Linked DNA regions of Schizosaccharomyces pombe. The protein of the gene in region 2 interacts with the protein of the main gene of each other region in a pairwise test. Each region holds a gene or a part of one and is shown on either strand. Other genes may lie near its edges.

Region 1 (8,039 bases), on a different chromosome or scaffold from region 2:
ATACGAATGATCAATTAACCAAGTTGTTGAATATCTACTGTCATCAGACGAACAAGCTCAGAGTAATGACATTTGTTATGTTTAGCAATGAAATCATTTAAAACGATACCAATTTGTTCTTTTAGGACTGATTTTTTTTTGTAATGTCAGGTATAGTAGAATTTTATTTCATTTTCTTATCTACTACTTTTTGCACTATTGTTATCGTTCATTCGTACTAGTAGTAAATATGTAGTTTGACAAGTATGGTATATCACTTGGTAAAAAAAAATGCCTTCTGGATTCACCGTTATAATTTTGTCTTATACCGCTTATTAAAATTGATTCCCTTACCACCAACAATTCGTTTTACAGTTCAATTTGTATTGTTCCCCTATCCTCTCAGCTTGATGATTACAAATATTTGCTCAAAGTGGATGCTTTAATTTAAATTTTCATGGTAGTTCCTACTCCATTTTACGTTTTACGTGGTCATTCTAGCAGTGTCACTAGTGTACTTTTTGACGCTAATGAATACTTATATTCTGGTGATGAGGCAGGTTTTGTAATTTGTTGGTGTCTTACTAGTATGCGACCAAAATGCGCCTGGAGAGCTCATACAAAAACCATATTGGGCATGCAAATAGTCAAGGGAGGAGCCTTATGCACTCACGGTAGAGACTGTCGTCTCGTCACTTGGAAAATCGATTTTAATTGCATGACCGACAATTTTATGTCATTATCAAAACTAGCTGAACTTCAAAATTACGGTCCTGAAGCCTCTTCTGAAACTGAGAAGAGCAGCGCATTTATATCTATTCATTCCAATATCGTTGTTAATTCCCTAACCTTTTGCCCCTTCTCTTACTCTCCTCAATCTAAAATAGTAGTTTTATGCAATACATTGAACTTTGAAGAGCTTGATGTATATGATGATGAATCATTGTATCATCCTCAAACACACAAAGAGGATTGCGGAAAAAGACTACAGACGAGAATTCAGCCAGAAGAGTCTGTTGGTAAAACAGGATCAGTAATGTCAACCTCAGTAACCGTTACTGACGAGAAGTATGTACTATTAGCTGCCGGTTACGAAAGCGGTCATGTGGTTCAGTACATATGTTCATTAGAAAATGTAAAGACTGTTACCCTCGATTTTAAAGCTGTTTGGAAGATGGTTTACGCCTACAAAAGTCATTCTCAACCAGTTTTATCGGTAGAGTACGCTGGTTCCAAATTATTTTCAACGGGTGCTGATGACTGTATATGTCTGCATCCTACTCCTTCATCTATAGCTGATGATCTTGGTAGTCTGCCTCATCCTATATTTAGAAAGACAAAGCATTGTGGACAACAAAATATTCGTATACGAAGTGATAACAAGATATTAGCAACTGCAGGATGGGATGGTCGAGGTCGTGTTTACAGCTGCCAGACATTAGCTCCTTTAGCGGTTTTGAAATATCACTCCGATGGTATTAATAGTTTGGCCTTTCATCCAGGCAGCAACGTGATTGCGTTAGCTAGTAAAGACACCAGAATATCTCTCTGGAAGTTGTATTAGGGCAAAAGTTTAGGACATTACAGTTACGTTTAATCCATCATCATTTTCAAGAAATCATTTACTTTTGGTTTGCAGGATTCAATTCATTCTTATTACAATACGCGCATTTTTATCAATAACCATTGAAATGATTTTAAACGTATTACATATATTAAATATATTAAATATCAGACTAGTAAATGCTTAATCTTCCAGTATTTTGATATCGCCTCAAATAAGATGAGCGATTCATATGCAAGCATAGAAAGTACGAAAGACATAATTCTAACCTGAGCTATATTAAGTAGTGACATTAGTTTTATAACGGCAAAGAGCCATTGTTTATGTATAGTGATGTTTATAGTACAAGGACGTAATTTTGACGGTCAAAATTTTTACAGTTAGTTTGATGTTGCTTGGCAGTTTCAATCTAAATGGAAACCTTTGCAACAGGAATTGTCATTCTCTCCGACTTCCAAAGATTATGATATTCGACGATTCGAGTAGCAACATCGACGAAATCGGTGTTCTCATCGGTATTTTTCATGACTATATCTAAACCGGATTTATAAGACTCTTTCTCAATTTCATCATTTCCTTCGATGTACCTTGATAAATCTTGTATAATTTCATCATCTGTATAAAGGTTAGTCAAAAATCAACAGCACAAATACCATAACCCGTCATTTTAATGTCGCGAAAATGCGACGCCTCGCAATGGTCATCATTACAAACACCACCAGTGGTTTCGTATTTACAGAAAACTTTCATCGGCTCTATCTTATTGCTGTAGGTAAGCGACCGATATTTCAACGGTACTCGCTCAACAAATTGTTGATTAAATCGATAAGATTTAAAGCGGTAAAATGGAGAGATATAATCGACAAGCGGTACCTTATCCTCAAAATCTGTTTCCGTCGTCCCATTTGGCGCGTTTGACGTTTTGGAAGACAAAATCTGTGATGAGTTCTCATCTGCTTGGGCGGAAACCTCGGTTATTGAGTCCATACTTAAATCAGATTCTTTAGGTAAACATGCAACATTTCCTTTCCCTTGTTGTTCGAGTAACTGTTTTTTCCTAGTGTACAATTGTGTTAGAATCTCAGTTTTTGATTTCACCAAAGTTTGATATTTTGTTAGTTCTCCTTCCTCTTTTTCTATTAAGTTATTTAAAATGTCAATCTCGGATTTTTTAATCTGTGCGGGATGCTCTTCATGTACCACAGCAATTTGTTCCGTCTTTCTGAGCCAAGGTGCCTCTAATATCTGCTCAGTTGTATCAGAATTCGTAGTTGCAGCACTAGACGAGGCTCCTGACGAGCTAATAGAAGGTCCAGCCTCCACAAAATCGGCTTTGGAACTAAGATCAACGACTTTTTCAAAGGTATCCAAGTGTGTTTTAGATTTGTTGTCAACCGCAGCTACAGGGACAGATGGAAGTTTCATATCGGCGGCAGAAGTTGGCGATCTATACGGTTTTTTATTAGACTCAAGCCGTAAGATCAACTTTGTCATTCGCCGTATTTCCTCTTCTTTATTGCGAAGAAGCGCCAAGTAATCTGAACGAGACATAGTAAGACCATTTTCACTATTTGAGGGGGGCTTTTCTAAATTAGATTGTTCTATCTTCGAATTCGAAAAGTCATCTCCATCATCATCGGAATCAAATTCAATAACTACATTTGGAGTCGAGGAGCCAAAAGGCTTCGAAGAAGATAGCCAATCGTCCTGCTTCAAAAGTGGTAAAGATATAAGATTTTTTCTTTCAGGAAGGACGGTAGGTGTACCATTATCGCCAGGTAATATATGTGTGTCACTAAGATTACTGTCAATCTTACGAAGTTTAGCAGACCTAGCAGCTTTGTCTGCAGATAGTGTCAGACTTCCTTGGGAGCTAGCAGAAGAGGAATCCAGTCCGAGCTTTAAAAATAAAGTATGAACAACCGAAGGCTCGATGCCCTCAGCAATAAAATCGTTAAAGCGCACTCCTACTTCAAACAACTGACTCACAGCTTTCTCTGCTTCCTTTTGATTAGTAGTCTTGGAATAATTTGCATCAGAATTTTTAGATGTTGAAAGAAAAGGTGATTTTTCTGATTTTGCCTTTTCACTCTTTTGATAAGAAGTGTCGGATGATAAAGCCAATGGTCGGCTAGTAGCGGTATCTTTAAGAGCCCGGTTTTCTTTAAATGACTGGGAAGTATTAGAAGAATCCGATGTTTCAGAAGACTTCGCCTTATTTCGGTTGTTGAATGAATTCTCAGATGACCGTTTGCGCTTCGAAAAGGTTTTGTTTGAGGAGGCGGTTTGAGGAAAGAAAGGAACTGTATTTGGTCCAAACATCAAAGCTGGAGGAAGCATAAAAGGTGCGCCAAATGGAAAAAAATTCGCGTTAGTTCCAGGAAATCTAGTGTGTTAGTTAGATAAGACACCTGATGGGTTGAATGTATTCAAGTTCGAAAAAAAAAAAGGAAATTTTACAAATTGTCATTCTCGTAATCCCAAAGTTGGAGTTAAACCGTACAGAACAGCATAACTAGCGGAGAATAGCTCCGTAGAAAAGATAAATAAGCTGCACTGACAGGTTTAATCAAATGCCATGCTTACCTATCAAAAGGAGGCAACTGAGGAATTTGCTCAGGAAAGGTTGGTACTTTCATTGGCGGAACTAAACTGTTAAAAAAACGAATTCATTTAAACGGTGAGAAAATTGAAAAGATGGATATCAAAACATAATTTCCAAATACATATAAAAGGCTTCTGCCAGCTTTATTTTTCTCTCTTTAAAAAAAAAAAAGCCACGCATATAAATAGAGATATGAAATGTTCTAAACGAATGCAAGCAATCGTCGAGGAAAACTCAATAAAATGCGAACAAGCCTATAAAAACAAAAAGTCTCGTTTCACAATATATTTGTGTAAATTTCCATCTCTAATCTACCTTACCTGAATTTGATTGATCTATAACAGGATCGTCTTCGCTAATTTCGCCATCTTCTTTGTCAGAGTCATTACTCTCATCTTCTTCATTCTTCTTTTTTGATTCTAAAGCCTTTTTTCGCAACTCATCGAGATTTATTGACCGGGACATTTATTTACAGCTAAAACTGGGTTAGTAGTGCCAAATTTCAACAGCAGATGTTTTGTTTGTAGTACCAGTTAAGACAGTGAAACGCGAAAAACATTAAATATTATTGCACATAAAGTTTTTTCACCTCAGAGCATGTTATTCCCTAATAAAGATATTGATGGTTGAATACTTTCTTATTTGTTCTAATGAACTGTCTGAAATATGCACTAAGACTCTTTATTTACAAAACATTCGGAATTAGTCTATTGAACAGGTATACTGAATGTAGCAAATATATTTTCAAACAATTTTAAAAAGTAACACAAGAACAGCTAATATGTTCAGCCTTATTGGCTTGCTCATACGAAAAGTGTAGCGGTGATTCAAAGCTTTCGCATCCAATTATCTTTTGCTAGTTTACAGCACAAATTTACGCGAAGGTGAAATAACATTTTTGAGTTATCAAATTATAGCGGGAAATCTGCTTTTAATGGACTAGTCAGTAATTTAGTAGCGGCCGCCTTGTCTCATAAATAGAAACATAGAACATCTGGAGAAGTTCAAGAAAAATAGCGAAAATGAGAAAACTGTGTTTTAAACCTTTGTCCAATAATGATAATGTTTTCTACTAGCATATCCTTCTATGAGCACATGAGAAAAAGAAATATTCTTTCGCTCAGTTCGGTTTTAACGTTGGAACAGTCTTTGGCCTTTATTAAAAACTTGAAGTTCATAAACTAAAAACAACAAAAACATTGTGCTTTATGCAAATTTCGTGTGCAATAAAAGTTCGGGTATCCGTTTATGATGTTTTAGCACGAAAGCCGACTATTGACAGTAACACTGGTAATAGCTCTTTTTACTAAAAACCCTCATCGAAAAGGTAGTTCCGTATCTGATTACAAGGCCGATCGTGCAAAAATACTAAAGACCGAGGAATATGTAATCGTGCAGTTTTATAACATACTCTTCCGTTGCTTAAGTTATTAATCTGAATTTAGTCTGTTTAATCCGTTACATGAAAAATTTAGCCTTTCAGGAGCTTGAAGAAATGATTTAAGATCAAAACGCTTTCATGTAATCACCTAACAAAAATGCTAGATTTTGTTATTATTTATTATTGAAATTCCCCCATAAACCTCGAAATTTTAAGACCGGTCAAGTTATCATTTGAGGCTAACAGGCGGCCTTCAAGCATTTAAAACGAAAGACCGTATTCATAGATTATTTATTGGTAATCTCAATGAGGCTAGTACCTTTGATCTGTTACTACTTGCGAACATACTATTTGTCTCCAAATGTTTGCTGTAGTGTATGCTCGCGCTCCCTCAATCGTTCAGAAAGTTCAAAGCAATGCAATTTCAATTCAGAGTTTACTTTTTCCAATTTTCGAACTCGCTTTGTTTCTCTCATCAACTGCTCTTGAAAAACTGACCGCAGTGACTTTTCGGATTTTGCGTTCTTACCTGGCATAAACTCCTCACAAGGAATTTGTTTTTCTTCTAAGAAGATTTCCTTGTAAGCTTCAAGTTCTAAAATAACTTTTTCAAGATCTTCTTGCTTCATCTGAAGTTCATTTGCTAACATGCGTTTGGATTCGGCCAAATAAGTATACGCATTTTCCAATGAATCGTATACCATCCCCTCCTTGAAGTGCAGTTCAGGTACTACAGCATTATTCTGTAAGTCAATGTTCAATGACTCATCCTTTTGGACAACAATATTTCTCACGTCAACATTTTCTCCCAATAATTTTCTGTTTTTATCCATATCGCGCAGAGCTATGTCTGACATCTCTTTAAATACGGAAACTTTCTCACCAGATGGGGACTTAGTGATTGAGATTTTTGTGTTGTTGGAAATAGAAGATGAATCATTAAAGCTTTTGACTAATTTACTAACCCTTCCTGAGATAGAAGTATTATTTTCGCTTTCTTGCCCTAGTTGCTCAAAGTCTGAACAAGAAGGTGATCTGCAATCAGTATTTACACCGATAAGCTTATCTTCAAGTAACGACTGAAGAGTAATTTTATAATTCCTTAACTCGATTTCCTTCGTTTGGTATTCTTGATCCTTTTGTACAAACTTTTTTGTTATATAAGTCAGCTCATCAGAAAGTGTATGTTCATCAAGATCTTCAAGCTTTGTAGATGGATTAATTCCAGCTTGAGAGCATACGTTTTTGTAAACAATGAACAAAAGATTAAATATTGAAATTCCTTTTCGTACACTTTCGGAAATTTGGGATTCGGTAGCATTAGATGAATCACTTTTAGCGAACGATGGCTCGACAAGCTGTAAAAAAGAATAGAGGTGCTCTTTTTTATTAATAAATGATTGATAAGAGTTTAACAAACTGGCTAATTTGGATTCACTTAACTCCAATTGCTGCTTCAATATCTCATTCTCCTTATTCGCGGTTTCCAGGTGTGCTCTACCTTCAGAAAGTTTGGAGTTTACTGAATTTAACTCTGCATTCTTTTCAGAAATCTCACACTGTAAACTATTGTTAGTTTGACTTAAAGTCTCCAAACTGTCATGGAGCTTCTCAATAGTTAGCTCTTGATCCCTGATTTGGCTTTTTAAAAATGCAGAGCGCCCGATTTCATCGTCAAGATTTCCCTTAGTGTTTTTTAAATCCTTCTGTAATCCATCCCGTTCATCAGTCAAACTAAAGACCGTGTCAAATTGAGAGAGTTGCTCATCCTTTAGGCATTTCATTTCTTCATCAAGTCTCAAAACCTTACTTGATTCCACTTCAAGATTGTTCTTTAATTCATTAAGTTCTTCCATAAGATATTCATTTTTTCGAAATACATTCTCCATATCCTTTATTGACGACTGTATTTGTTCTTGATAAAGTAGATCCCTTTGTTCACTAACAGAAGACTGAAACTCCAATAAGCCTGCTTTTTCTCTAAGACTTTCGGAAAGTCTTGAAATTTTTAATTCTTTTGCTCGAAAATCATCATCATAATGACTAATTAATGCCTCCTTGTTGTTTAACTTTTGACGCGCTTCTTTCATCTCGGTTTCATAATTGGCGTTCATTTCTCTCAGATTTTTTTCATCATTTTTAACAGTTTCTAGAGCTTCTTGCAATGACTGATTTCTTTCTAGCAACGCTTTGATTTGATCCTGTAACTTCTCGGTTTCAAGTTTTAAATCCCTGTTTTGGGTTTGAATTTCATTAATAGAATTTTGAGCTATAGAAAGCTTTTCTTCATAACTGATAGTTTTATTTTCGGCTTGTTTCAAATTTGACGCTACTATACTTAGAGATTTCTGCAACAACTGACGCGCGGCTTCACTGTTAAACTTGTCTTCCAATGCGTTGTTATGCTTGGACACAAGGCACACATACTTGTCGTTCATAATAGAAGAATGAAGTTTGAGCTCCTCAACAAGAGAACATAAATAGGCAATTCGTTTCAGAGATGTGTCACT
Region 2 (7,974 bases):
CCGCATCCAGCAAAGAGTGCACCAAACTCGATTTTCTCTCTTTAAACCTATCAAATAAAGAAGGCAATACAATACCAGTATACGGAAGAAAGCCCTTCCTTAGCGCCTTGGCAATATGCGTCAATAATAAAGCCGCTACACCCACTACCACCACGTTTGCATCTTTTAGAGACTTTGCAATCACTCGAAGTAACTCACTATAGTCACCCTCTTGATAAACAGGATTGGAACACACCGGTACCATGCTTTCCAACGCTTCCTTTCGATCTTTCCACTTGGGAGAAGATAATGCGGTATGGAATTCTGGGGTTAGTTTGGAAAGAACATCAACGGGCGTACTTCCGACAATGTTTTTGGCAGGAGATACAATGGAACGGGAAGGAGATGCTGAAAAATCAGAAGGTTGTGAGACCTTTCGGTTAGGAGTACTGAAACTAGAAGTAGAGCGTTGCAGAGTGTTTCCCTGCGAAGATGACTTTGAGGACAAATGTGGTTTGGGTTTGGCATTCGATGAAAAAGAAGGAAGAACCACCTCTTGGGTGTTGAGGGAATTTGAAATATGTCCTCCCGTGGTCGTGCGAGATGTAACATTTTGAAAAGAGGCCTCAAGATCGGAGACCTGTATTTGCTTTAGTTGAGGAAACACATGAGTCTTGAATGCATTACCAACCCAAGCGTACAAGGTTATGGATAGATTCGAAGCTTCTTGCCTGATATTCTTATCTGATTGGGCGAACAAAGTAGGAATCAGTTTATAGAATGGAATAGGAGAAAGTGCAGGGATTCCAAAATTCTCCAATAAACTATTTAATTCTTTTATAGAAGCAACTGCCTGCTTGGGATGCTTAACGCGAGCCGCCGAAAATAACCCTTCTAATACATAGTCCAGCGCATCGGATTTAGCTAAAATGAGTAAAGCCTGGTGAGAAGCATCACGGATAGATTGTCTAGGAGATGGTAAACATTTTTCGAGTAGAGGAGCAACAACGAACGATTTGGCAGAATTAACTCCTTTTTGCCTAGACTTGTCTAAAAAGCATCGCAGAGATTTTACGGCATGCTCTTGTGTTGGTACGTTACTATCACACAGCCCTTGTTTCCATAATGCTGGGTCATGAATCCAAGGCTGGAAACAAACGTCTGAATCATCCAATGCTCGGTTCAATGCATGCAACAAAGACTCATATGCTTCAAATCGAACTTTCCAAGACTAAATAAATCAGTTAGAAACCTAAAAACTTAAAATAACCCACTACAGAAGTGAGATCCATCAATACTAGGGAGAACAGGTATGAAAAGAGTAGTGACGGAAACACAAAGCAATGAGTAAAACTAATTGAAATCGTAAAATACAATGGAATTGATCAACAGTGCCCTTAATGCCGTTGCAACGATATTTCCATTTGTTTGCTTTTCATTCCAGTTACATTTTTCTGGACAGCAAGCTTCTATCTCCATTAATTTGTAAAAAGCTTACCTTATCAAAAATTTGACTGAGAATGCGGCTATTAAAATCGTCCAACTCCATTTACATAAACAAATATAAATTAACGACTCGTATGTTTACAACCAGCAGAGCATGAATAGTTATGTAAAAGAATGAATTTTATAGACAAATAGAAAAATGAAAACGAATGAAACGGACGGGATTCTAAACAGTAATGAGTATGGCTCTGAAATTGGAGTTGTACATGTGTAAATAGAGACGACTAACTTTACGGACGACAATGTTTCACTCACACAGCCAGCACCGTAGAGTTAGCACAATTCGTTAGACCATCGTATTGTTGAATATGAACGAGCGCAAGATTACACTATTAGAGCAAAATGTAAATAAAGCAGAGAAAAAGAGGAAACCATCAATAATTTTAAGTTTTTAGAGTAATTTAATTCTTTAAATAAATAACTTTATCTTAAACCGTACCAAAATGATGCTAACAGAAGATGAGCACCCAAATGGAATGTTCACCGATATATTAAGCCTTATGCAAGTTGCTTTTTGAAACCGATTAATGTGCTATTGGGTGGCTCTGTAAGATGCTTGTGATCTAGTATAAGTGAAAAAATGAATTTCTAAGACTCTTACTGAATAAAACATGACGTTTAACTCGTTTAAAGAAGGGAATCCTATAGATTGCAGATTTTTAAGTTTTCGTTTCTATTCATACCTAAGTCTAATTTTATCTTTCATTTGCCCAATCTGAATTCGAGTTCTTCAATTACAATAAGTTCAAGTTATACATTTTTAAAAGGATTCCAATATTCTGTCGAGCACCCAATTCATACATTCAATTCTAAACAATCCATATTTCGTTTTGTAAGCCAAGTAGTCAAAAGTAGCTAGTCGATGTAATACCATGCTTGATCAAATTTTCGGTCCGCAAAGAAGCCGTGTTACGCCTTGAGTTTCTTGGATTTTGAAGAAATTTGTCAGCGGTCATTGTATAAATTACGAATTGCTTCCTCTTCCGCTATCGTCACTCTTTGCAACTTATCATCTGCAGCCACCCTTACCCATATTCAACATATTCGACGAGAACGATATTTAAGTGTTTTCTAGAACTTAAGAACGCTTATTAAAAGAAAATTGTTGATTTATTCTTGAATCTGTTCCAAACTTGATCGATTGATTTCATAATCGCTACAGTTTCGAGTTAAAGACATTGGTAATAAGTTTGTTCTCTGGCCACTTCTTTGCAATAAAATCCTCCCCGCTCATTGTTTATAAAGTTCTTTTTTTTTAATTGATATTAGCTTCAAAAATTTCTTTACGATGTCCTACAGTTTTCAGGGATTGCTCAACCGCGTGAATGAGAGCGCAATTGTAAATACTCTCAAAGAGTACACCGGTCTCAATACACCCAAATGGACCTTTAACGATATTCCCGATCTTACGGGTAAAGTCGCTCTTGTCACAGGATCTTCAGGTGGCATTGGTTATGTAACTGCCCTCGAGTTGGCTAGAAAAGGCGCAAAGGTCTATCTGGCTGGTAGGAACGAGGAAAAGTATCAAAAAGTTATGAAACAGATCCACGATGAAGTTAGACATTCCAAGATCCGTTTTCTTCGTTTGGATTTGTTAGACTTCGAAAGCGTGTACCAAGCAGCTGAGTCTTTCATTGCCAAAGAAGAGAAATTACACATATTGGTCAATAATGCTGGTATCATGAACCCTCCCTTTGAATTGACTAAAGATGGTTATGAACTTCAGATTCAAACCAACTACCTTTCACATTACTTGTTCACTGAGCTCTTGCTCCCCACACTCCGTCGTACTGCAGAAGAATGTCGACCTGGCGATGTTAGAATAGTTCACGTCGCAAGCATTGCATATTTGCAGGCCCCTTATTCTGGTATCTACTTCCCTGACCTAAATCTCCCGCATGTACTTTTGGGTACTTTTGCTCGTTATGGACAATCTAAGTATGCCCAGATCCTTTATTCCATTGCTTTAGCCAAACGTTTAGAAAAATATGGAATATATTCCGTTAGTCTACACCCAGGTGTTATCCGTACCGAGCTGACTCGTTACTCACCTACCTTTGCTCTCAAATTGTTAGAGAAATCAGTCTTCCAGTATTTACTTTTGGATCCAATCAGAGGCGCCATGACTTCCTTATATGCTGCAACCAGTCCCGAGATTTCCAAAGAGCACTTGAACGGCGCTTACTTCACTGCAATTGCTCAGCGTGGTATTCTTCATCGCGCTCATGATGATGCCTTTGTTGAGGAGCTTTATCGCTATACTCATAAGATATTTGAAGATCTCAAGTATTTAGCTCCTTCTCCATAATTCTTTTGCTCGTAATCTGAACAATGATGAACGCTTCTTGAACCACTTAAACTAGTAAAGTGTTTCTACCTCCTCATATATTTTTAGTTGTCTTATGTTGGAATCCCTTTATGATTACTTTATATTAGTAATAATATTATACAATTTCGTATTGCTTAAGAACCACAAACAGCATTTCGACTTTGTCGCTACATCGCTTCTTCCCTGGTAACAGTAGGTTTGATCTCTTACTTTTCTGTCTGTCAAAGCATTGGTATTGTGTATTAGCCATTTTATCCACACTTTAGTCGACTGTATTTTAATTTACAAATCAAATATTTACTTTATAATGTTGATGGTAAATATGGAAACGACTAGTCGACATTTGACCATTCACTATTTACACTCAGAGCAATTTTTTGTTTTTTTAATCTTAAAAAAGAATCTTTCTTTTGAGTATCTCTCTGTGCCACGGGGCATTTTTTGAATCTGCCGAACAAATTTGTAAGAAATGTGAATTTACAAGGAATACTTATTAAAAAGTAAAACTCTTTTAAAATAGAAATTTTTTTATTTACTCAGTAATTGATGGTTTTCATATTCATTTGTTTTATCAAAGTACTTCGTATTCGTTATTACCCGTAATCAAATTACTCTCTCACGATTATCTGCACCTTGCCTTCTTCCAGAAATCCAACACTAAGGAGGCTACTAGTAAACCCTATAATAAAGTGTTTTATTAAACATTCAAACATTATTTTGAAAGTTGACGGGAAATAGCTAACTTTTGAAGAAAGTGAAAAGCTATAATTGGTGATTTTTGGGCTAAACATATTTTTTTTTCTTTTTTTTGGGGCTTGGTCTTCACTTGACTTACCGCTATTCTTTCAAGAGTATATCTATCTTGCTAGTTCTTGCTTTTTTATTTCTCTACTCGGCAAGACTTTTAAAGTAAACGATAGTGGTTGATATAAATTCAGTTAGTGTATTGACCAGCAATTTTGTTTTTTGGGGGGTTTTTTTGGTTCTCTCTTTATTTTTTTTTGTAAAAAAAATATAAAGCAAGGGATTTTGGTGAATATTTATTAACTTAATTTAATATTTATCACAATCTTCTGGCTTCAACTCATTTTCCGTTACTCAATTTACAAATTTTTAGCATTTTAAAGAGGATTTCAAAAAAAAAAGATTATACTTTTTATCACACATAAAAGAAATTTGAATGTCAAACACAAACTTCTCTACTTCTAGGTCATCAAAGTCCATTCCGGAACTTCCAAATTTGGAAGCTCTGCGAAGCCTGTGGCGTAAGTAGATTATTGTTTAAAATATCAGAGAGGAATGTAAAATAGTGTCATTGAAAATTGACTGACTTTTCGCCTAAAACCTCCTACTGTTTAATTTTGTCGAGAATTTTACTAACCACCTTATATAGCTCCACCGTCATTGAACGAATCGGGCGATACTAGAAGCGTATGGACTACTCATACCGGAGAGCCTGTTGCGTCAAGTGTTCTATCTACTTCAGGTTCAAACAACTTTTCTTCACCTCTGAAAAGACCTGCACCAGAGTCACATGACGCTCCTATCGGTAGAAGATTGATGGTAGATGATCCCCGCTTAATTAAACATGGTAAATATGATTTTAGCAGGCATTGCACTGACTATGGTCACTCCTACGAATGGCCTTATTTTCGATCCCTTCGTCGTGAGTCTATGCTTTATCACACTTCGGGATCTTATCCAGAAAGTCAGCCTCCTTACTCTTCTTATTCAACTGATGCTCCACATTATTATCATGCAGGTTCGGAATCCTCTGCTTACTATGATAGCCGTTCTCGTTTGCATGGCATACAACCTCCTCCCAAGCGACGCACACTTAGTCCTCCCCCTAGACGGCTTGCGGACCCAGTGGTTGTTGGAAGTTCTCGTTATGTTGAAGAAGAAGTATACAGAAGGCCTCCTTACACTTTAGCTTCTGAAGTTCCTTCATCCGCTTCAGCATACCAAGCTGGTTACTCTTCCTATCCTGTTCGATCTTCCCCCCAACTTTCTCATGAAGACACTCGTCATGGTATTGCAAGCAGTGGTTCAACAAGGTATCCTTTTGTACCTGCTAATACTCGTGCATCTCACTCCCCTAGTTTGCTTGAACCTTATGCTCACTCCCTTCCCTCTTCGGTCGCGCCAGTTGGAGCTTATCCTGAGAAATCTTCTTACCTGCTTTCTAATTCCAGCAATGATAGTGCCTCAAGAAAAGAAAAACCCAAAGCTCGTGCATCTACGCCTCCTCCATTAAATTTTTCCAGAGCAAGCGAACATAGAAATGAGAAGGGGGAACGCATTTCGATGATTAATCCCCGAGTTGTTCTTGACGAAAATGGAATTTCACACCGTAAGGCTTAGCCCATTAAACCAAAACAAATAATTCTAACAACTTAGGCTCCCGTTATTTTATTATGCTATGTGACAACGAGACTGCCATTGCTCATGCTAAAAAAACTTCTATTTGGGCAGTCAAGAAAGATTCTTCCAAAAGAATTTCTGATGCATATAAGGTTTGTCTTTTATTTCCCTTAAACGATATAGTTTTATACTAACACTTTAACAGAAAGCCAGTGTTTATTTTATTTTTGTGGCTCAGCAAACGTACAATGCTTTAGGATATGCTCAGGTAGTCAGCGACCTAAATAGCACCGAACTGCCCTTTTGGTCAGATAGCTCGCATGCTGGAGGTGTTCGCATCAAGTGGATTAAAACGTAAGTGTTGTACTTTTGAAGATTTCTTCTGCTTACCTAACTAGTTGCAATCTGTTTTCTGCTGAAATTTCTGAAATTGTTAGCCACATGGATCATGGGTCTGAAGCTAGAGATGGCATGGAAATGATGTATGATGAAGGCAGCAGACTTTGTACGTTGATTAACTATGCTATAATGAAGCGAATTGGAAGAGACCGTTGATATCTCCCTTTTGCTGGATTTTCAAGAATGTTGGATGCTTCCTTTAACAAAATTCATGAAACTATATACTATTGGAGCGGATTGATGTTAAATGCAGTGGATTTGCTTAATAAAGCATTCCGTATAGGTCGCTCATCAACATTAAAGATTTAACATTATTAAAAAGTTTTTCTGAACAATAAAAAAAATGCACACTATAATGGTGTTAATTTTCAATCTTGGAGCAAATCAGTTAAGTAAAATTATCATTATTGACTTGTTTTTGCTCCTCTAAACGAAATCTTAACACAGTATGCAATGTTTGGTTCTTGAACTTAACCCAAATACTCTAAAAAATTAGAAATTCTGATTCTCTTCAAACAGGCTGTTTTCAAATTTGAATGATTTTGCTTTGAATGATGTTTTTTCTTAATAAAAAAGCTAGATGAATCTGAATTAGACAAATAGGTAAATTGGTTGTTCAACCATTGTGCATGGAATTTATCGATTTTAATCACTTCTTCTGAGATCCTTAAGTATCATTTAGTTTATCTGTATTTCTATATTGGCGTGACACTTACATAAAGTTCGGGCTTTGGGTTAAGTGAATGTCATTAGTATTATCGTTATCAACATTTGTTGATCGTTGGAACATGGTCAAGCTATCAACAGTGGATAGAGCATAAAAAAACTAACATTAAATGATTAAAGAAAATTACAATAATATAAAGCAAAATAAAAACAGAAGCAGATTTAATAAGGAAGTAAAAGTTGTGGGCAATCCAGTAGTCAATCGTATATCTATTTCATTACTTATTGCATGCAATCCATCAAACATTACATATACCACATCTTTGTTTTCAATTTACTTGATAGAGCTAAAAGCGGCTTTACTTCTTGATCCATTGATGCTTCTGATGTCTCAACAAAAGTATCATCGGCTGTCACGTCTTGATAACGGGCTAAGTTACTAACCAAATGCGCATAATAAACAGGTGGAACCAAGGAAACAGCACTTGTTGCTCTTGCATAAACATAACAAAGATTATAACACAGTGTTTGGAATTGGTCCGGTGGCATCTGAATTTCGTCGTGCAAAACCGTGTAGTGAACTGGGACCGAAACGCCTTGCAGAGATGGGTGGGATATAAGGTAAAAATCGTACTGATAGGGGTGAGTAACATGCTTTTCAATAATTGTACCAGGGAGGGGATTTCCATTTCTATCTCCGTCGGATTTGTTCTTAATGAAGAAACGAGCGT
Region 3 (7,233 bases), on a different chromosome or scaffold from region 2:
AGTCAGCTAATGTTAGTTTCATTGTTAACAACACAGCTGCTGCAGGTCTTCCACTCTTTCAAATTTTAAATGGAACGACAGTTATCGCTCAGGGGTATGGTCCATTAAATATTCTTGGTAACAATTCTGTTGTGCTATACAACTTCAACTTCTGCACCACTAGGATATCCTGGTAATTCCATAAACTAAAAGTGGAGATCAAAATTAGTCAATCCTGATGGTATGACTGAAGTTTACATTACTTTTTGGTGGCAGGTAGCTTTGATAACTTTTTAATACAAATATTTTTGTTGGTGTCAACAATTGTAGTTGATGTAGATTAATTTTATTTTATTTTTTTCAATTGTGCAAACACAAAGAGTACTCTACTAAAATAAACCTGAAAGTTCGATACCGCTTGACACTTGGGCTGCTGATCAACTGACCGTAACAAACTCCAACGAAGTGGTATCAATATCTCAAGCACGTCTTCACTTAGCCTTCCAACTACACCATTTAATCTGCGTTTTATATAATGAGTTTAGCTAACCGCATTGAAGAAATCCGGTGCCTTTGTCAGTACAAGCTTTGGAATGACCTTCCTTCTTATGGAGAAGACGAAAATGTGCCTCAAAACATCCGCCGTTGTTACCAATTACTCGATATGACCTCGAGATCCTTTGCAGTCGTTATTAAAGAATTGCCAAATGGTATTAGAGAGGCTGTTATGATTTTTTATCTTGTCCTTCGTGGACTGGATACAGTAGAGGATGACATGACGTTGCCTTTGGATAAAAAGCTTCCAATCCTAAGAGATTTTTATAAAACAATTGAAGTCGAAGGGTGGACGTTTAATGAATCTGGTCCTAACGAAAAGGATCGTCAGCTTCTCGTAGAATTCGACGTGGTTATAAAAGAATATCTTAACCTGTCAGAGGGTTATCGTAATGTTATTTCGAACATTACTAAGGAAATGGGTGATGGTATGGCTTATTATGCCTCTCTTGCCGAAAAAAATGACGGATTCTCTGTAGAAACTATAGAAGACTTTAACAAATATTGTCATTATGTTGCCGGATTGGTGGGAATTGGACTATCTCGTTTGTTTGCTCAATCTAAGCTAGAAGATCCGGATTTAGCTCATAGTCAAGCTATTTCCAATTCTCTTGGACTCTTTTTACAAAAAGTTAACATCATTCGTGATTATCGTGAGGATTTTGATGATAATCGTCATTTCTGGCCTCGTGAAATTTGGTCCAAGTATACTTCCAGTTTCGGTGATCTCTGTCTTCCTGACAACTCTGAAAAAGCTCTTGAATGTTTATCTGATATGACTGCTAATGCTTTAACACATGCTACTGATGCTCTCGTTTATCTTTCTCAATTGAAGACTCAGGAAATATTTAATTTCTGTGCTATTCCACAAGTAATGGCAATTGCCACATTAGCTGCAGTTTTCAGAAACCCGGATGTTTTTCAAACTAATGTTAAGATAAGGAAGGGTCAGGCTGTCCAGATTATTCTACATTCTGTAAACTTGAAGAATGTTTGTGATTTATTCCTTCGTTACACCCGTGATATTCATTATAAGAACACTCCTAAAGATCCCAACTTTTTGAAGATTTCAATTGAATGTGGAAAGATTGAGCAAGTATCTGAAAGCTTATTTCCACGGCGCTTCCGTGAGATGTACGAAAAGGCCTATGTTAGTAAGTTGTCTGAACAAAAGAAGGGAAACGGAACTCAGAAGGCAATTTTAAATGACGAGCAAAAGGAATTGTATCGAAAGGATTTACAGAAACTAGGCATTAGCATTCTTTTTGTATTTTTTATAATCCTTGTATGCCTTGCTGTCATTTTCTATGTGTTCAATATTAGAATACATTGGTCAGACTTCAAAGAGCTTAATTTGTTTTAGTCCGTAAATTTAAAAAACTTAAATACTGGTTCAATATCGATAATATACAAGCAGTTTATTTCCTTAATTACTCTATGAAAATTGAAAGCTGTTTTGCTAAACAGAAGACAATTTAGAACTTGATTTTTGATCCTGTCTACAGATAGTGACTACAATTAATATAGGTTGTAAGATAAGACCACAATGAATGATGAGATATACTCGTGAGTGTTAAGCAAGCAACGGTTTGAGTCTTATGTGTGGGTATTTATGCCGTTGAAACTTTTTGTCGTTTTAATTGCTAAAGATCGTTAGAATGGATAGCTAAATCGGAATTCTTACCTCTGTACTATGTGCAGTGTCAGCAGTGGACCTCTTCTTAGTAGCTTTCGGCCGTTCTTCTCCAGGTTCGAAAACTTCATCAGGTAAAGCAGTACTAAAATGTGTGAGAGTGTATATATATAAAATGACTTACTTTTTAGTATTCTTAATGAAAACGTTCATTAAGGTGTCATCATATTTATCCCATTTTTTGCACAACTCGTAAAATTCTTGGGTAGGCCAAGAAATATCAAGTCTTTTAATTGGATGACCTAATAAAGTTAGCATAATTAATTTCAAAATGTAGTATCTTGCCTTTCTTCTTTTCAAGTTCAAGCCCTATATAACATGTTGTAGTGTAAACAGGAAAAATTTGTTTTTCACCATTTTCAGAACCATCAGCTTTACTCTCAGTATTGTCGGCTTTCTCTTCATTAACTGTATCGTTGGCTAATTTTTCATGATCCGTAGATTCATATGCGACTTCAAGAGTAACGCCGCTAGCTACTTGTTGAGCTTCTTCTTCACTGGAGCAATTATACACTTTATCAAATCCTTTATTGAAAGGATGTGCCAAAGCAATAGCATCAACAAGCTCCAGTCTAGTAACCAAATGACGAAGCTTAGATTCAACCAAACCTGCCCACTTCAATTGAGCTTCAGCTGTCTTAGCAGCTGCTGTGATCGTAAGATAATGCTTATAACGATGAAAAAAGTCGTGTTTTTGAAACAAAGCTGACCAGGGAAGAGCCTTGACCATTATTTGGTCAGCAATTTCTCCAGCCCGAACCATTTCGCGAAGGATAATTGTTTGGGTGGATAAAGTAATGTTATGAGTTGCACACATTGATGGATAAGCCGGGGTTATAATTGGCATACGGTGAGCTTTGTCGGATGGATAAAGTTTTGGATTCCAGATACGTACTTGTAAGGGGCCATCTTCAATGGGCTTTAACAATATTGGTTGAGGCCAATTCCATTGATGAAGAATACGAAAAAATTTAGCAACAATCACAGAAGATACTGCATTCGGATATAGTTGGCAAATTCGAGCTACCATCATGGCCCAGGCGACTCCTCCAGGAAATCCTACGACATTAGCGTATATTGCACGACGTTGAGCCCAAAACTTTATGGCTCTTAAAGCATGCTTAAAAACAGCACGATTAGGGACAAGCTGCAGAATCTGATCCGTAACACGTGTACCATTCAAACTTAGCACACATCTTTCTTCAACACCCTTTAATAAGTTATTATCAGACAATTCGAGGTCGCGGGGAACACGCGGAACTGAAAGACGAGCAAAAATTAAATCTATACTTATTCCCAAAAATTTAAACTTAATAATAGGAACATAGGCGTCAGGTACAGCAGCAAGGTCAGTTACCTCTTCTCTTTCTCGAAGCATAGGTTCCAAGTCCTGAAAGAAATTGTCGCGAGAAACATGCTTGGGTACAACGACTAGGGTATCTATGTCTGATCCAGGTCCATAAACGCCCAGTCTATAACTTCCGTACGTAAAAATTTTCCCCCCTGCCTCATTAGCCATCTTTTCGTTCATATGTTTGGCAAGTGATACTTTCTTTACAAATTCTGTCGTTATTTGTTGCAACTCATCAAGAACCTTTACTCTTTTTTCAGATTCGGCAGGAGATTCAAACAAGTTTTGGTTCTTCAACTCATTAATTAAAGCCGTATTCAAAGCATTTTCCTGTTCAGTAGCAGGTGCAGTACTAATTGGCGGTGTAATACCCCATTGCTTGGTAGTCATGCTTTGAAAACAAAAATTGGAGTCTTGAAAGGTAGCTGTTTTAAATTATCCTAACCTTTAAAAACAACTGGTTTAAAGCGTACTAATGCTAAATGTGTAGATCTGGTTAGCATTCGTTTAGGATTTAAGGCATAAATACGCAATTTCACAAAGTGCGTTATCTTATTATAATGTCAAAAAATTCATTTACAGTTGCACTGAGACATTTATTTCGATTAAATCAAATTTAATTTATCTGGTAAATTATACAATTGTTGCTGTTTATCATATATATCTTGACAGTGCACTATGTTCATTATCTGACAAACCGATTGCTCCTGGTTTTGTATTTAAAAGCTTACCCGTTAAATTCCATCCTTCAGATATGCATTTTTTTTGGTTGAATAAACTAGCGACTTGAAATGTAAAAATAATTTATGTTGCTGAGAAGTGTAAATGATTCAGAATCCACATCTATTTATTGGATTTACCGCAGTTGTAGGGAAACTGTCGAATTATTGATGACAAGTTCTCCAAAACTCTTTGCAAACAAGTTTCAATGTATGAAATTGATTCCAAACAGTAAAGAATTATTATGCTCATAAAGATTATCATAGCCATGTTTCGAGAGTTTAGATAAGCAGCCGAAATCTATGCAAACTGGCCTGCAAAAGACAACAAATCTTCGTCATTAAGATATTGGGCCATAATTTGAATTCCCATTGGAAGCCCATTGTTCAAAGTACCGAAAGGTATGCTAACGGATGGTATTCCAGCCATATTCGCTGGAACTAACATAGTATCTGAAAGATGACTATAAGAGGACGGGGTTTCAATGGGTTGACTGGAATTAAAAAAAGAAGGGGTAACTATGAAATCGATGTCACCCCTGGGATCATCGACAGAAAAGGAAGGTAGAAAAAAGTTTTTGTTGAATTCCAGCTGTATGGCTCGGCGAACGTATCGAGCCTTAGAAAACAAATCAGAGGAATTCCTATTTGTAAATATTAGTAACTACTTAGTAAATCAGTTATATCATACATTCTTGCTAGTGAATAAGCGCCTAGCAGTAGCCTCTTTTTCACTTCGTCTCCTAAAAAAAAAGAGCGTGCAGTAGATGAAATTATTTCCTCTTCGAACTTTTCATCTAAACAATTGCCAAATGCGATAGTATTATATTTAGCCAAATTTGAAGTCGCTTCTGCATAAGCCATTGTGGAATATACACTGTTAGCGTATAATGAAATTGGAAGCTGTATTTCTTGGACAAGATAACCATTTGATTTCAGAAGAGATATGAATTCATTCCACTTATCTAAAACGTTTGGATGAGTCTCAGAAACATTCCAGTCAATTGGAATTCCTATTTTAATTGGCTTCCGCGATAATTTTTTGTGCTGCTCTTTAACAAAATAACGAGCTTCTTTAGTTAAACAGGTTGAGTCATTTATGTCGGGATGGTCTAAAACATTAAATACTTTGGTAACGCCCTTAACATTATTTGCAGCGATACCCACTGTGTCAAAACTATTGGCAAAGGCAAGCATTCCATATCTCGAAATCCTGCCGAAAGATGGTTTAAAACCTACACAACCTACGTAAGCAGCAGGTAGACGGATTGATCCTCCTGTGTCTGAACCAACTGATGCATAACATATATCCGCCGCGATTGCAGCAGCAGCTCCTCCCGAGCTGCCCCCAACATCGTAATTACTATCCTTAACAACAGGATTAACAGTGCGACCAAAAAGATTGTTTTCGCTCTTGACTCCCATTGCAAACTCATCCATATTTGTTTTACCAAGAATAATACCGCCGGCTTTCTTCAAGCTTTCGACAATTGACGCATCAAACGGAGAATTGTAGTCTAGTTAAACCGCAATTAGTAACTGAAATATATTCTTATTGTCTACCCTTCAACATATTAGAGGCTGCCGTGGTTAAATTTGTCTTCGTGCAAATATTTTCCTTTACTGTAATCAGTTTCCATTTTAACGGAAGCTTCTTTTCCAGTGGTAATTTACTAATTTCAACAAATGAATCATATAGATATTCGGCACTATTTATTGAAGTTAAAGACTTAATTTTCGCATCATTTAGAATGATACTAGCATATTTAGCTGCAACTTCTTTTAATAAATTGTTATATTTATTACTCATTCGACCAATCAATCATTGGACGTTAACTTCGTGCAAATAATGTATTACCCAACTTGTTGTATAGTTGAATAAAGTAGTGAGCTATTATCGGTATGACACCTAAGACTTTTTCTGAGGGGATCAACTTTTTATTGTTTGTAAAGCTCACTATTTAGTTTTTTAAATAAGTTAATTATGCAAAAAAGCAATGAAATAAAATGACTTTAATCTTACAAATAATCATTAATTCAATACAACAAGCAAATAGTCTATATGAAGTAGGTTTTTATTTTAATTCGTATTTAACCTTTTTTTAGTCATTTCAACAACATAGTTTGAGAGATGAAGTAAATTTTCAATTTCAAATGTTTCAACGGAAGATCCGATTTTGTGAGAACTTGGATATATTTCTCCCGTGGTTAAAAGCAGCTTGTCAGGAGTCTTTTCAATTTCATTCCACAGTTTTTCAAGACCACGTGTAGAGCGAAAAAGGTCACGGTTGCACAATACGTACAGACCATATGAGCATGCTGAAAAGGCTTTATAAAATGTTTTTGGATTCCAATGATCAGAGGCCTCTTTAGATTCAACTGTCGTAAATATAACAAAGTTTACCCGTTTATCGCTTGGTAATTTTTCCACGGTACCTACAAAAGCAGGCTGACCAAAAAACGAGTTATGAGAACAGCGTACCGATATAATTTCATTTAAAAGGCTGACTTGACTCTCATAAAGCGTACAGATTACAATTTCGTTGGTGGGATAACCTAACATTCGCATGTACTGGAATAAGGCAACTGCGTACTCGGCTTCTCCAAGATTTTGCTTATAACCGCTAACGGGTTCTGTTTCTTGAGAACCTTTAAAAGCTCCCACATTAATAAATTGGACCTCATGTGCAAACCCCGAATTACCATAATCAAGTCTTTTATTGGGACTAGAATCCACAGTTTTGATGTCCAAAGGATAAATTGATGAACATAGAGAACTGATAGATTCTCTAACATTGTATTGCGTATTAAGGTCAATAATTCTGGATTTCAAATACCGCAAACGTTTGAAAAGTGAACCATTTGACGTATTATTTATATCCTGATTCCCAGAGGTAAGATATTGATTACCCAGAAGAACAAGGCGATCAAAACCA
Region 4 (6,485 bases), on a different chromosome or scaffold from region 2:
AGTACCAGCGCCAGTACCAGTCCCATTTGAAGTTGCAGCAGAAGTGCCATTCCGAGTCGAATTCGAAGTGGACTGATTCGAGGTATTAGTTGTGGCAGTCGGACGGGGAGTAGTACGAGTAGTACGTGCAGTTGTGGTTGTAGGTGTACTAGTAGTGCGATTGGCTGTAGTAGATGAGTGATTTCCGGCGGGAGCCCTAATTTTAGACGGGGCCACCTTCAATACGAGATTTCCCAAAACGGAAAGATTAGTGGTGGAAGATTTTTTCAATGGTCGAGTAAGCGACACTTCGCGATTTGATCGAAAACTACCAACTTCACGCATACGAAAGGATACTAAGCCAAGGAAGCCTTGATCTTTCTTTTTGAACTTTTTCTGATCAAAAAGGCGTATGGATATAACGCTAGATGGCTTAACAGTTCTAGAATTTAGTTAGTATAACGGAACAAAGAAAAGGGCAAAATCAACATATTGAAAAAAAAAAAAGAAAAAGATGCAGTAGTAATAAAAGATTTGCAAAAAGGATAGGATATGATAATATACAAATGATGTTGTTATTAGAAAATTGTTAAAAAAATTTCGTTATGGAGCCACAAAAACTATCCGACCATCAAAGAAATGCTTAGACTCCGAACTAACGTGAATACTAAGAGTATAAACATATCTATCCAAATCTAAGAACATCCAAGGTCCAATCTCTACCATCTCTTTTTTTTTTATTTTCAATTGATCATGTTATCCGCCGCATTTGTCATGTGCTTACACTTCAAATCCTTCATTCCAATAAGGGTTCACCGATTTTTTAATAACTTTCGTTGTATGAGTTTGCTCGCCATCTACCGTTAAAATAGCAAAGGGATCGGGCTGTCGAAAAAGATCCCGTTTACTTAATCCATCAGCAGCTACTATGTAGAACCGGACTCTTTTCGCTCCTTGTTCCATGTTCTTAACATATAATTACTTGGATTCCTCTAAGCGGAGAGGTGAAAGTCGCGAAACTTCACGAAACCTTCAATATGTAAGCGATTGTGGTAAATGGTAAAAGCGGATACGTATACCACAAAAGGTTTCAATATTGAAGCGGGGGTTCCGAGCCAGTAGGAAGGTGGGGGAGTTTGGTGGTAGTATGAAGAACGCTGTAGTTCACTACGCAACGATATTCTTGTTTTGCTAGGGAAATGCGTTTAAAGATACTAAGCGTTCGCTGGCTAAACAGCAACTTTATATGTAATTTAAAAAGGCAAAGAGAGTGTTGAGGAAATCGACCAATTTATCTTTTTCGTTGTAGAAGTAGTAAACCGATATACGATCTAAATTGGCTCTTTTTATAAATCGACAGACGAATGCTCGAATGCTCGAATGCTCTCTGGAATATCCTAGTGTAAATACCTGTTGGTTGGCTAAATAGTGGATCAATAGGTGTAACTCGCAAGTTCAGCGAATATCCGCTCAGCTAATATTTGGCAAATCGAAAGAGTAAACAAAGGTCATCGAATCTGAGTGGCACAGCGTAGAAACGACTGACTTGATTATCCTTGTTACTTTTATTTATCGCTTCCCTATACGAGTTGGGTAAAAGGCAGGAAGGAAATTATTTGTACTGGAATCCGGAATATGCCGCAGGTAGCTAAAAGAAATTGACTCGACATGTACAATATATGAACATAAAAATCGACTATGTAAAAACTACTTAATTAGATATACACCAAGCTTTTTTTGTTAAATGTCATTTTACATCATGATGACTAAAAATTAATTTCCTCACAATTATTACATATAAAAATGAACTTGTAGACTTAGAAAAGAAAGTCATACATTTTCTATATAAAATCATTAAACAGAATCAAGAAATTTATTAGAAATATAAGAAGATCCTCAGCATTAAACTCTCCAAAGGAGAAGAGAAGAACGTTAATGTGTTTCACTATATTAAACACAAAATGTAATGGTGAACACAGAGAAGTATCTCCTCATTACAAAAATATATATATAATGAAATTATACATTGGTAGGTGTTTAGTTTTATTAATCAAGAAAGGAAGGAGATGACTGTAATATGTGATACGGTGTATAGAGTAGCTTCCTTTTCTGACCCCTTTTCTAATCAAGCGGATCAAGATTATGACGAGAAATTAAGCTGAGCAAATAAATTTTCAAAAACAAAAAAAAGAAAATTTTGAAGATTATGAACGTGCATCAGAAGCATAAAAACGACAATATACAACAAAATTTTATGAAGCTGGCATTGTAAACACAAAAATGCAATCAACTAGTCCATACCCAAGAGGAATTGAAGGGTCGGTGAATTACATTATGTCAGCATATATGTTTTAATATAGTGAATGGGATCATGACTTTAAAGGAAACCCGTGTAATCCAACACAAAAGAATAAACAAGGAATATAAACATTTAACGAATGAGTTGAAAGAAATACTAGTTAATTTCCAACATACTGTTAAATGTCATTTCTAATCTTTTCCCACCTAACTGTTATTGGTGACGATTTGAATGCTCATAATTCATTTTTCACTTTTTCAAGTCATCAAAGCGATTACCTAATACGGAGCGAAACCACGGGCTCTTCCACGATATCCTCCTCTGCCACGACCCCGTCCACGTCCACGTCCGCGACCACGACCACGGCTCATACCAGGAACGTTTGTCCGCTTGGGTGTAACCTACATTTCAAGTTAGAATGCATGTTGCTGGTAGTTACTGTGATTGTTTTACATACCTTTAAAGGTCGTTCATGCAACATCGATCCATTTAATAAAAGAGCATTAGGCACTAAGCTTGGTTCACTGAACTCGATGTATGCAAATCTACGAAACTAGGTTAGCTGTACATTCCAACGTCATCCACAAGTTCGATTCATACCCTTTTGGATGTCCCGTAAACTTGTCACACAAAATGGTAACGCGATTAACAGATCCACAACTAGCAAAATGACTTTGCAACTCCTCTGGAGTAACACTGTAATCAACATTTCCAACATAGACACTTTGAGCATCAATGGATTCCTTATCGTTTCTCAAAGCTTCCGTTTCATTATCTAGTTGTTCTTGCATGGCACGAAGCTTTGCAGCCTCTGCTTCCATTTCAGCAACTCGCTCTTTCATTTCCAATAGTTCCTAATCATGTAAGCAAATAATTCCACCATACTACACAGTCTGAATTCCTACCTTTTCTTGGGTATCTAAGGCATCTTGATCACTCATTTTTTCAAATTTTCTGCTACACGCGTGTGGTTGGAAGTAAACTGTTCAACCAGTATTCTTTAGCATGTTGAGGGTGACAAAAGTTTCCCTCTATGCTCTCAGAGTAGCGACGCTTTGTTTCGCGCAAATTTACAATAGCGTATGGCACGATTAGAGACGGAAAAACCGATTTCTGAATGAAACAGCACAATATGGTGTAATATTTTCGTATTCGTTAATACGTACAATATGTGTTTAACGAGGATTTGGACTGCCTGCTTATAGTTCGGATGCTTGGTTAAGATGAGAGTGCTCACAAGTAAGTAAGGTGAGGTTTGTGGACATTTTTGTATGGCGTGTTTGGTTTTATTGTATTGCTAAAATCACAATTCATAAGAAAGCGATCTTTAAAAAACAATTAAGGAGATTGACGGGATATGCCGTTAAATGTTTAGTTTTTGGACGTAACGAATACCTAAGTTGCTTGAAGAGCTCTCCCACTTGAAGTGAAATAAGTGGAATCCTAAAGAAATACGATAAGACGTGATAAAGTATGGCATAATGTAGTTCTTTCATGGAACTTCGAACTCAATTATTACACACTCTTCACCATTGATATACGTATCCAGGGTTGGTATTATCTTCATTAGCTCGATAGCCAAGGGTGATGAATTACAAAAATATAGAAAAGGGATATTTTTGAATGGAAGTCTATTTAAAATAACTTCCTGTTTTTTAATTGATTTCTTTAATAATATTCCGTATTTTTATATAAATTAATTTATTTTTTCTGATTTTTACCATTATTTCTTTTTTTACTTTATTTTGTAGTTTTTTGTGTTTTTTTTTTTTTGTTCAGCAACCCATCTAACGTAATGCTATCGTTTATATTAATTGTTTTTTTCTTCTTCTTTTGTTTCTACGCTTTAAATGTAAAAAGAGTCCAAGTCTAAATAAACCAATTTTTTTTTTTTTTTGCCTGGGGATACTAATAATTTAATAAAATGGAAATTTCCCAACAATGTTTATCTATCAACCACAGCAAGCCGTTCCCAGCTTAACTAATACTAGAATAAAACAAATAATAATAAAGCATCAAGTAACGGTATATTTCGTTTCATATGCGAATTGTAGAACCAATACTACAGATACTTCACTATTTATTTATCCGGTAGCAGTCTACCATTGATTACCTTCTAGACACCGTTGACGATTCACATACCGAAGCGGAGAAAATTAATAAATCAGAGTTTTAACTCAAAGGAAGCTTCTATGATCCCTTCCAATCTCGTACTTCTATTCAAGGGCCTATATATCTCTTGATATTTAATTGCTATGGCAGCTTCCTTAAACCAAGCAACATAATGATCAAACAAAAAGCAAATTGTTAGGCAATTTTAAGATCATTTCATTAAAATGTACGAAATAATTAGTTCATATTCGAGGCTTATATCTTTCTCATTATCGAACATTTTCCATCGTTCATCTATCTACTTTGCTATTCTAGTTAACAGTGGTTACTTGTGCATCTAAAACGATCGGTGAAACGAAGATAGAAACGAGAAAAGAATTCAATAAGATGAGAAAAAATAATTAAAACAATTAGTAAAAATGAAAATAGATTGTAGACGATAGCATATGTGTCTATAAATTAGTATATACGACTTGTTCTATTTTATATTTATTTATTTATCACGCACAAGTTTAAGGAGAAATAATGCACTACACAGTCACGTTATCATAGAATAAGGAAGAAGAAGTCAGAACGGGATAAATTGATCACGAATCTTCCTTACCAACTCATCTACTATCTCGACATAATTGTGCTATATTCCACTAAATTTCGTTAAATTCTCTATCGCAATCAAAGGAACATCAGCACTAAAAAGAACTCCTCAGGGGGGGCGGATAACTTTACCCTCTACCAACAACAACCAACCAAGGTTCTGTTTTCTGCTACATTTCTGGGTTCAACATGAGAAAATTTGCTTAACAAAATATTAATACACACACGATCTAAGTGAATTGCTACGAAATTCTAATTCTCCCAAAGTATTCAACGCGAAACCACTGTTTTCATACCCGCCATCCTCTTCGAACAGCCAGGCCGACTTTTCTTCCCTCTACTAGGTTATTTCGTTGCCGAAGTATTCCGCCAATCTCTTTTTGAAACCTGTTTCTTGTACAGGTGTTGGCTTTCTAGAGATTGAGTGTTTACTGGAATTTGTTTTTGTTTTCTTACTATCTTTCCTCTTCTTCCCCAGGTGTGTACTGTGAAGAACAAATAGAGTATATATATATTTCTGTATTTATATTCATATCTATATTATTTGTTCAACTTTCAAAGAACGACCTGTTTGAGTCTATTAAAGGAGAATTTAAGAAAACTGTGAATTTTAGGTATCATTCGACCGACATTAAGTTATCATCTGCTCGACCTCTCAAACTTTGATTAAAGAAGAAAAGTTCGGAATCGAAAGTGTGTGTGATTATGAAGCTGCTTCAAAAGAAAGGTTATAAAGTTGAGCGCCCTCTGAATAAGGGATCGTATGGCACTGTAGTATTAGCCCATCGTCTTTTTCGGACTCCCCGTTGCAAGGATTTGAAGTATGCCATTAAGTGCATCAAAAAACCTGCTTATACCTTTTTGCAAGAAGTCAATATCTTGCGCCAGCTATCGCGGTCTCGACACCGCAACATCATTCATTTCGTTGAATCTTTTGAAGACAATGTATACTATTATGTCGTGCTCGAATATTGCCCTCTTGGTGATTTATACGAGTGCATCTTGAATAATGATTTTCCAAATGCAAAGAACCAACCTGAAATGATTAAGAATATTTTTCTTCAAATCATTGATGGTGTTGCACATTTGCATTCTCATGGTATCTACCATCGTGACTTAAAGCCAGAAAACTTTCTTCTTTCTCTTTCAGAAGATGGATCTGAGCTTGTGGTCAAGATCAGTGATTTTGGACTTGCTTGCAGGGACAAAATATCTTATGACTTTGGAACTGGCAGTGACCGTTACATGGCTCCTGAACAGTTTGAGGAAGTTGATGGTGCTGGTTACAGCCCTCGTGCAGCGGATATATGGGCTCTTGGTATTTGCCTTTTAAACTTAATTTTTGCACGTAATCCTTTTACCTATCCACACGAAAAGGATCCTATATTTGCTGATTACATGTTGGACGCAATGACCTTATTTGACGTTTTCCCTACGTTGAGTCAAGATACATATAACGTCTTGCGAGCATGCCTTTGTGTGAGTCCAGAGAAACGTTCTC

Evidence for each region.
Region 1: the proteins of mmi1 (region 2) and red1 interact in binary tests that used the Schizosaccharomyces pombe proteins (3 or more experiments, as listed by UniProt).
Region 3: the proteins of mmi1 (region 2) and pla1 interact in binary tests that used the Schizosaccharomyces pombe proteins (3 or more experiments, as listed by UniProt).
Region 4: the proteins of mmi1 (region 2) and pab2 interact in binary tests that used the Schizosaccharomyces pombe proteins (3 or more experiments, as listed by UniProt).

What each region holds. Positions count from the first base shown.
Region 1 is NC_003424.3:5,069,260-5,077,298, forward strand, and holds red1 (protein Red1), read right to left. Parts: upstream 4,640-8,039; 5' UTR 4,614-4,639; coding exon 4,469-4,613; exon of another isoform or gene 4,191-4,468; coding exon 4,130-4,190; intron 3,930-4,129; coding exon 2,203-3,929; intron 2,159-2,202; coding exon 1,953-2,158; 3' UTR 1,672-1,952; downstream 1-1,671. Other genes in the region: ASTRA-associated protein 1 Asa1, read left to right, coding at 437-1,543; protein mcp3, read right to left, coding at 5,877-8,039. UniProt on the Schizosaccharomyces pombe protein: Promotes the exosome-mediated degradation of mRNAs containing a DSR (determinant of selective removal) signal sequence from mitotic cells.
Region 2 is NC_003421.2:336,588-344,561, reverse strand, and holds mmi1 (YTH family RNA-binding protein Mmi1), read left to right. Parts: upstream 1-4,449; 5' UTR 4,450-4,994; coding exon 4,995-5,079; exon of another isoform or gene 5,080-5,207; coding exon 5,208-6,167; exon of another isoform or gene 6,168-6,214; coding exon 6,215-6,330; intron 6,331-6,383; coding exon 6,384-6,532; exon of another isoform or gene 6,533-6,576; coding exon 6,577-6,733; 3' UTR 6,734-7,474; downstream 7,475-7,974. Other genes in the region: TOG/XMAP215 microtubule plus end tracking polymerase Dis1, read right to left, coding at 1-1,210, 1,478-1,528; SPOM_SPCC736.13 (dehydrogenase), read left to right, coding at 2,774-3,793; ago1 (argonaute), read right to left, coding at 7,550-7,974. UniProt on the Schizosaccharomyces pombe protein: RNA-binding protein that recognizes and binds N6-methyladenosine (m6A)-containing RNAs, a modification present at internal sites of mRNAs and some non-coding RNAs.
Region 3 is NC_003423.3:925,724-932,956, reverse strand, and holds pla1 (mRNA cleavage and polyadenylation specificity factor poly(A) polymerase Pla1), read right to left. Parts: upstream 4,073-7,233; 5' UTR 3,969-4,072; coding exon 2,513-3,968; intron 2,470-2,512; coding exon 2,352-2,469; intron 2,313-2,351; coding exon 2,219-2,312; intron 2,178-2,218; coding exon 2,145-2,177; 3' UTR 1,911-2,144; downstream 1-1,910. Other genes in the region: glucan endo-1,3-alpha-glucosidase Agn2, read left to right, coding at 1-176; squalene synthase Erg9, read left to right, coding at 515-1,897; gta1 (glutamyl-tRNA amidotransferase alpha subunit), read right to left, coding at 4,599-4,941, 4,989-5,814, 5,861-6,107; protein Cwf11, read right to left, coding at 6,378-7,233. UniProt on the Schizosaccharomyces pombe protein: Polymerase that creates the 3'-poly(A) tail of mRNA's. May acquire specificity through interaction with a cleavage and polyadenylation factor (CF I).
Region 4 is NC_003423.3:1,937,538-1,944,022, forward strand, and holds pab2 (poly(A)-binding protein Pab2), read right to left. Parts: upstream 3,252-6,485; 5' UTR 3,220-3,251; coding exon 3,184-3,219; exon of another isoform or gene 3,133-3,183; coding exon 2,879-3,132; exon of another isoform or gene 2,824-2,878; coding exon 2,736-2,823; exon of another isoform or gene 2,680-2,735; coding exon 2,557-2,679; 3' UTR 1,834-2,556; downstream 1-1,833. Other genes in the region: HECT-type ubiquitin-protein ligase Pub3, read right to left, coding at 1-421, 764-942; serine/threonine protein kinase Ksp1, read left to right, coding at 5,690-6,485.